Linked DNA regions of Macaca fascicularis. The protein of the gene in region 2 purifies or fractionates together with the protein of the main gene of each other region. This does not show direct contact. Links are inferred from orthologs where the notes say so. Each region holds a gene or a part of one and is shown on either strand. Other genes may lie near its edges. The genes, in order: OSTF1 and MYO1E.

Evidence for each region.
Region 1: the proteins of MYO1E (region 2) and OSTF1 purify together in Homo sapiens (co-immunoprecipitation; 3 studies listed by BioGRID and IntAct, counting the BioPlex papers as one, with this or other methods). This does not show direct contact. The link is inferred for Macaca fascicularis from reciprocal best matches to the Homo sapiens genes MYO1E and OSTF1.

The regions. Positions count from the first base shown.
Region 1 is NC_088389.1:105,847,792-105,851,614, forward strand, and holds part of OSTF1 (osteoclast-stimulating factor 1), read left to right. Parts: intron 1-1,000; coding exon 1,001-1,054; intron 1,055-2,510; coding exon 2,511-2,618; intron 2,619-3,558; coding exon 3,559-3,608; intron 3,609-3,823.
Region 2 is NC_088381.1:35,649,266-35,653,088, forward strand, and holds part of MYO1E (unconventional myosin-Ie), read right to left. Parts: intron 798-3,823; coding exon 683-797; intron 473-682; coding exon 303-472; intron 1-302. UniProt on the Homo sapiens protein: Actin-based motor molecule with ATPase activity. Unconventional myosins serve in intracellular movements. Their highly divergent tails bind to membranous compartments, which are then moved relative to actin filaments.

The DNA.
Region 1 (3,823 bases), on a different chromosome or scaffold from region 2:
CCATGAGCCTCCTGTTAATAAACTGGTCATGACCACCAGATGTGCTTGAGCCTGACTGTGTGGCCTAAGAGAAAGCATTATAGCATTCTTAACCCAAGGTTTCCGAGAACGCTTATGGTTTTACTTTCTTCAGCTCCTAAAACAATTGTTTTTAATGCTGATAAACTCAATCTTGCAGATCGTTTCTTAGACTAGCCCTTTCTTTTGTGATGGAGTAACACGACCTTGTTAATTCATGTTCGGGGCAGTGACGTTCATTAAATGCTTATCGTGGCAGTTTGGGGACCTTGAGAGAGGAGAGACACGGCTCCCGCCATGAAGCTGCTTCTAGCTGCAAGTGGGACAAATGGACAAAACACTTATTTAGTTGTCAGCAGAATAAAGTCAAAAGAGCACAGAATTGATAAACAAGGCTCCTGAGTTTTAATCCTTTTTCTTCCATTTCCTAATAACACTCCCTACTGATTCTAGGACAGCAGTAAACACACCTTCTTTTAGAGGCAGGTAGCTATGCTGATTGTTCTTTCTGAATACAGGAAGCAAAATAATCCCCCCGCCACCCACTCCTACATAAATACACACAAGAGACTCAAAATTACTTTTAGGCATCTTTAAAGCAGAGTGATCTACAAAATGTAAAAATGAACATCAAATGCTTTCTTTTGCATTTTTGTGCTTTGTTTATTGAATACTTGAGTAATATCAAGTATGCATTCAACTCAGGTATGCAGGTTTGTTTGTTTTTGTTTATACTTCCAGTTAATTACTAGGTTATTGCGTTATTGCCTGGCTTCCTTTCCCTTAACACCTAATTCAGCTTCATTTAATGCAAGAACTATCCATTTGATTTTCTGTTACTTTTTATCCACATTAAGTAAAGGAAACTGTGTTGAAGGCCCTGGTACTCCTGAAGCTGGGGGACTGTGGTGAATGAGTGGCTTCAGTAAATCATTTGTGTGGTAATTCAACATTGGGCTAACACTTTTTATTTTCAATCTAGTGGCTGAGCAGGCAGAATCTATTGACAATCCATTGCATGAAGCAGCAAAAAGAGGTAGGTGTGATTCTTTTTGACTGAGGTATACAGTACAGTAAAATGCACGGATTTCAATTAGTTTTGACAAGTGCATACACCCATGTAACCAACACTCAGATCAAGATCTGGAACATTTCTACCATCCTATAAAGTTCCCTTTGTACCTTCTCAGTTAAATCCCTGCCTTCCCCAGAGACAGTCTGTCCCAACATCTATTACCCTAGAGCAGTGTGATTTTAATTTTAAAATGTCAATCAAGAAACACTGTTGTGGGGAGACGCAAGTCGAAAGACATGGTCTGTGACTTCCAAAGCTCAACATCTGGCAGGGGAGAGAGAGATGTAACAGATCATTAAAATATGGTATGATAAGTACAGTAATTGAAATGTGTTTAACAGGCTGTAGAGGCCAGGGTGGGTAACTGGAGGGCAGAAGAATGGAAGGGTCTGGTGGGTACAGCATTTAGGAGAGCATTGGTGTGGTGAGCACTTGGCCAGGGAGGGCATAACAACAGGGATGAACCTGGGGAGGATCCTTGACCAAACAACTGTCAATCTTGTCTTGGGCTTTATTCTGTAGATCAGTAGTCCTCAGCTAGGGGTGATTCCTCTTTCACAAACCCTGAGGATATTTGGCAATATCTGGAGACGTGTTGACTGTCATGACTGGAGGGATGTTACTGGCATCTTTTGGGGAGAGGCAGGGGTTATTGCCACACATCCTACAGCACACAGGAGCACCCCCACAATAAATCCAACCCCAAATGCCAATGGGGTTGCTGCCAAGAAACCCTGCTATAGATAATGGGGAGTTTTTGTAAAGCCTCAGTGAGCTCCATTTCATTCAATTTTTAGATTTTTTTGGAAATCTGAATGTACACAAGGAAATTATTGGTTAGGATTGTGAAAAAGTAAAAGGAGTAAACTGACATTTTAAAAATTCTTTGTAAATTAGATACTTGGGACATTAGCCTGAGGATTTTAAATTAATAGTTATAGTTTAGTATATAAGAGCAGCAGCTTTGAGTAGGTTATTTAGCCTTTCTTATAGGAACTGAAGATGCATTGTAAATATGAATATGAATAGTATCTGCTTGTTCTTAGGTTTGATTGTTTTTTCCTCAATTTCCAGAATTTCACAAAGAAAAAATAATATATGTATATACACATACAAACACACACACACACATATATATTTTTTAACAGAATAGAAATACCTTAAGTATACCCATTTAGGCAACTCTTCCCATTAACCTATCATTAGAAACATTGATGTTAATACTTTACATTAATAACCTGGAAGTCAAAATGTACCATAATAAATGCATTAATGGGCAGGTCTTAATTTACTACTTACTGATTAATCCATTGCAAATGGAAATTTGTGCAGAATGAAACAGTGAAATTTATTTAAAAGCAAAATAAAAAGTGAAAGCTTTTTTTCTTGTGTTTTTGTAAATGTAAAATTCTTTCAGGCAACTTGAGCTGGTTGAGAGAGTGTTTGGACAACAGAGTGGGTGTTAATGGCTTAGACAAAGCTGGAAGCACTGCCTTGTACTGGGCTTGCCACGGGGGTCACAAAGGTATTCCATTTTGTTTGTTATATGTTTCTATGCTGCTGAAAATATGTTTCACCTACGGGAGCCAGATTTACAAAAAATGAGAAAGAAAAAGCATTGGCTATTGTTTTTGAATCCTTTAGAACAGCGGCCAAAAGCCTTGTTCCTGGAAGCTCTGTAGAACAGTGGGTAGAGTGTGGTCAGCCAGTCTCTCCGCATGGGCCCCTCTCGCTTGAAAGACTGGACACTTCCTTTCCTCTCTCAGGCTTAGAAAGGTTACTGGAAAACAGCAGTAATATCAAAACAAAACCGCTGTCTAATCTTACAGAAGAAAAGATCAGAATTGACTCCCTAGCTTAGCTTTTCACAAGGTCTGCTTTTATGATTTGCATTTTAAGTTTCATGCAAACTATTAGATTCAAGAGAAAGCCAACATTTGCCTAAGTTAGCGATTCCATTGATACTTTTTCTGTTATAATCAATAATAATGACAAAGTGAATTTTTAGATGTATTTTTTCCTGGCCAAAAATGTATTACCCACTGCTTTTCTACGTCTCTCTATAACAAAGGAAATAAACTCAACAACAAGAAGAAATGAAGATCTCAACAAATTAAATAGCAGTGCCAAAGGAAAATTTGTAACTGTCTCCTAAAAAGAAGCTTATCTTATTTCAGCTAATAAACATGTTAGTTATATGAATGAAAAGTATTATAATGAATGTAAAAATATTCCTGTGTCATATGAAAATGCAAAAGCCAAAACTATTAGAAAAAGTGTATTTTCCTAAATAATTCCACTTTTTAGATTCTTAAGTTTTTCTATTTTATAAATTTTAGAAAATGTGTTAACATTTTCTTGAAGGTTCTTCTAAAGAATCTCGCTTTTATAAAATTATTGTACCTAGATTTGTCAGGCTTCTAATTTTAATTCTTAAAAAAGTATCTTTTCTCTTTGAATTTCAGATATAGTAGAAATGCTATTTACTCAACCAAATATTGAACTGAACCAGCAGGTAAGACTGCTTATCTGAAAATTATTTAACACATACCTGCTTGTTCTCTTTAGTACAGAGCAACTTATGGGCATGTGAAGTATTGTCAAAATACTACAAGCACATAATTTAAAAATTATAATTGCACTAAAATTCAAATTGTCCACAGCCCCAAGTGCCAAACCCACTCCTCCTCAGATGTCACTTTCAGCTTTTAGCTCTTTCTTTGTGTACTT
Region 2 (3,823 bases):
CAAACAAATAAAAAACTACCTCAGGACATAAAACAGCATGCAATATGTATCTCAGTTTTGTAAAACTAAACACACAAATGTATGTTTTCATAAAAACATTCTGAAAGATATAGATATACACAGAATGTTAACAGTGATTGTTTCTGGGCATAGGTACTGATTTTTCTTTCGGTTTATATTTTTTCTAAATTTTTCTACAATGACCATGTTCTGCTTTGGTAACAACAAAAGCAAAATAACAAGTTATTTTTTTAAAAAAGTAAGGAATCTGGTGATCTCAGAGGCGGACAGTCAGCACGTACCTTGAACCTCCTGTCGTACTTGGTGACTGTGTCTGCAAAATCAATCTTCTCCCTCTTGCCCACGAACTGCTGGAGTTCTGGGTGCTCTTCCATCCCAATGTAATCCCCTATAAAGTTCCTGTTAATACTGTTTCTCCTTCTCTCCTTCTTGTTCAGTAAGATGTCTGAGGCTACAATTCCCAAGAGGGTTAAGATGGAAGAAGGATAAGTCAGTCAGAAAAAGGAGGAAAATACTGTGAAAATATACAAATAAACTCTAAATGATGCAATATTTGTAGCATGACATTATATGCAAAATAAAATGGAACTTAGAACTTCACTTAAGCTCAAATTTACTCTTCAGATTTGTTAAAATGAATGAAACAAAATTGCTAAAATACCTTCTTCTCTCATTTGAACATATTTCTTCCGGGCCACAAATTTCCTCCATGATTTCTGTATCACTCGAGCATATCCATCATACTTTCTCTCTCTCATCTCTTCTAAAAGAAATAGCTGTGAATGGAGAGAAGACAAATGTGAGCCAAGCCCCAAGCCCCAATCCCTGAACACTACTTTTCTTGTCATTCCAGGGACACTCAGTTTAGACAATGACATGCACAGGAAGCAACTTCTCTGATTCATGAACAAATACGTGAAATGCTTACTGTGGCATGTTTTTTATCTCCCACTATAAAATGACCTATACCTTTTTTCTTTTAATGGAAAACAATGGGAAATAGAATTTGAGTGTATTCAGTTGGACCTTGCCCTGCCTTGCTACAGTCTCTGTGAGAATCAAATGAGCGATTCAGCGCTTCTCCACTTATCCCCCACCTTCATCCAAAGATATTATTAGGAAGCCAGATCAAGTGAGTAGGTGGAGCTGTTGCTGTTGTTTGGTGCGGCATTTCGGCATGCAGCCTCTAAACAGAATTTTCCAGTTTCTGCAGGAGCAGGGCTTGTGCTGCTGTGGAAGGAGGGCTGCTCTACTTTCAGTTCCAAGAAAATACAGACTTCCTGTCTCAGGATTCACCACGGAGCAGCCGAGCGAGGATAATAACCACAGTGATTGGAGCTGGACTTGAGGTGTGCTAGTTAGGACTTGGATTTGCCCAGGAGGGCTGGAGCTGTTTAGGGGCCACATCAGCCTCTGCCAGGTCTTGAGAGTTGGGCCATTTTACCAATGAATGCTGAGGCTGCACCTCAGCCAGGCTTTGGAATAATAAAGGCGACAACAAACAGCTGTAGTGAGCCAAGTGCCCACTGTGGGGCAGAAGTTACCCAGATGATTTCCACGCAGTTTCATTCAACATCACAGCTACATGAGCCACATACTCTGTCATCTCCGTTTTACAGATGAGAAAACTGGAACTAAGACTGGGTGGGGCTAGAAAGTGAACCTAGGTCTTTCAGGCTCTGCCAGGCTCCTCATTTAGACATGCAAAGCTTTCTCTGTAAACCTGCATTTGATCCACTTGTAAAATGGTAGGAAACCTTTTCATCTACCTTGAGAGTGGCTTCCATGACTCTCTAGGAAAAAAAGAAAATCAACCAATAAGAATCCAAAGTAAAGATGATGAATAGTCATTGCAAAAATGTTCCAGAAGTAAACAAGCCAATGTGGTTTGAAGGCAGCTGGGCTTGATTTGTTGTCTCTGTTTAGCCGGGTATATGCTTGGGAGCCAGACCTATCCTCTCCTGCCACTCAACTTCTCTCCTTCTCATAGCTCCATCTGTGCAGAAACAACAACCCAAACTCCAGACACCAGGGGAGGGGCCACGTAATTCCCCCGGCTTCAGTGCCGTATACAATGGACATAAGGACAGATTTCTAAACCCCAAGTGGAATGCACAGATTAGCAACTGGACAGAAAGTTTAAAATCTGAGCCCTGCAGTTAGTTGCCTGTTGTAAGAATATCCATTGATATTTCTTATCTTGTGTATTGGGTTTCTGAGTAAGTCTCTTTTCCTTCTTCTTTCCCAGAACTATTTTGGGCGTATCACAGAAAATACACTTGTGACTCAGAAAGGATGAAGAGGCAAACGATTCCCAACTTCCTAGAGACTATCTCAAAGATTCGCTGGATTTTAGATTTCTTTTTAAAAGTCCAGGGGGTTAGAAATTAGGGAGGTTCAAGAAAAAAAACCTTGATAACATAGGTGAGGAGAGAATAAAAACCAAACAAAACCAAACAATAACAACAACAGAAAAACACACAAAACAACCCTGAATGAAAAAGCCAAAAGACATGGATACATGTAACACAAAACAAAAACAAACCCCATGGTGTCTGATGTGGGTTTTGTTTTGTTTTTTTTTTTTTTGAGACAGAGTCTCGCTCTGTTGCCCAGGCTGGAGTCCAGTGGCGCAATCTCGGCTCACTGCAAGCTCCGCCTCCCGGGTTCAAGCCCCATTCTCCTGTCTCAGCCTCCCGAGTAGCTGGGACTACAGGCACCCGCCACCACACCCGGCTAATTTTTTTTGTATTTTCAGTAAAGACAGGGTTTCACCGTGTTAGCCAGGATGGTCTTGATCTCCTGACCTCTTGATTCACCCGCCTCAGCCTCCCAAAGTGCTGGGATTACAGGCGTGAGCCACCGCGCCCAGCCATGATGGGGGTTGTTAAAGCAAATAGGTAATTTTGTATATTCAGCACATTTACTATTAAGGTAAAACCACATGGTAGTTTTTCTTTTTTTCTTTTTCCTTTTCCTGTTTTTTTTTTTTTTTTTTAAGAGAAAAGGTCTTTCTTGATCTGTTGCCCAGGCTGGACTGCAGTGGTACAATCATAGCACACTGTAACCTTGAACTCCTGGGCTCAAGTGATCCTCTGACCTCAGCCTCCTGAGTAGCTAGGACAACAGGCGCGTACCACCACACCCAGCTAATTTTAAATTTTTTTGTAGAGATGAGGTCTAACTGACTTGCCCAGTCTTGAACTCCTGGCCTCAAGTCATCTTCCCAACTCAGCCTCCCAACGTGTTGAGATTACAGGCATGAGCCACTGTGCCCAGCCAGATTTTAAAAACCAACTTTTGTGAAAGTATTTGCATGTCAGGGCTAGATGGGGATGTATGCGTTTGGGGCAGGGGAGAGAGCAGAGGTGATGGTGTGCGTGTGTGAGTGCACATGTCAAAGATGGGGGAAAGGAGAGTCAAGTAATGGTAATAACACAATTGAGTGTAAGGCAAGGAAAAGGACAGCCAAAAATAAATCTTGATTTTGAATATAACCCCCTCCAACGCAACTGAATCAGAAAAAATAGTATTACAAATATTGAGGCTGTTTTAATTATATATGAAAATCTCACAAGTTGAAAAGTAAAAGCGGGTATGAAACAAGGAGTTCTCAATTGTACCGATAAATCACTCCATCCCATTTTAGAAAGAACAGGAACTGTTCTGTGGGTTGCTTAATGGCAAATGACACAACATTTTCACTTTATATTTGGAAATGAAAATTCTTGTGAAGCTACAAATAACTCAAAGTAGAAAAATGCTACCACAAACGTTTCATAAATGGCTTCCATCTCTGCGT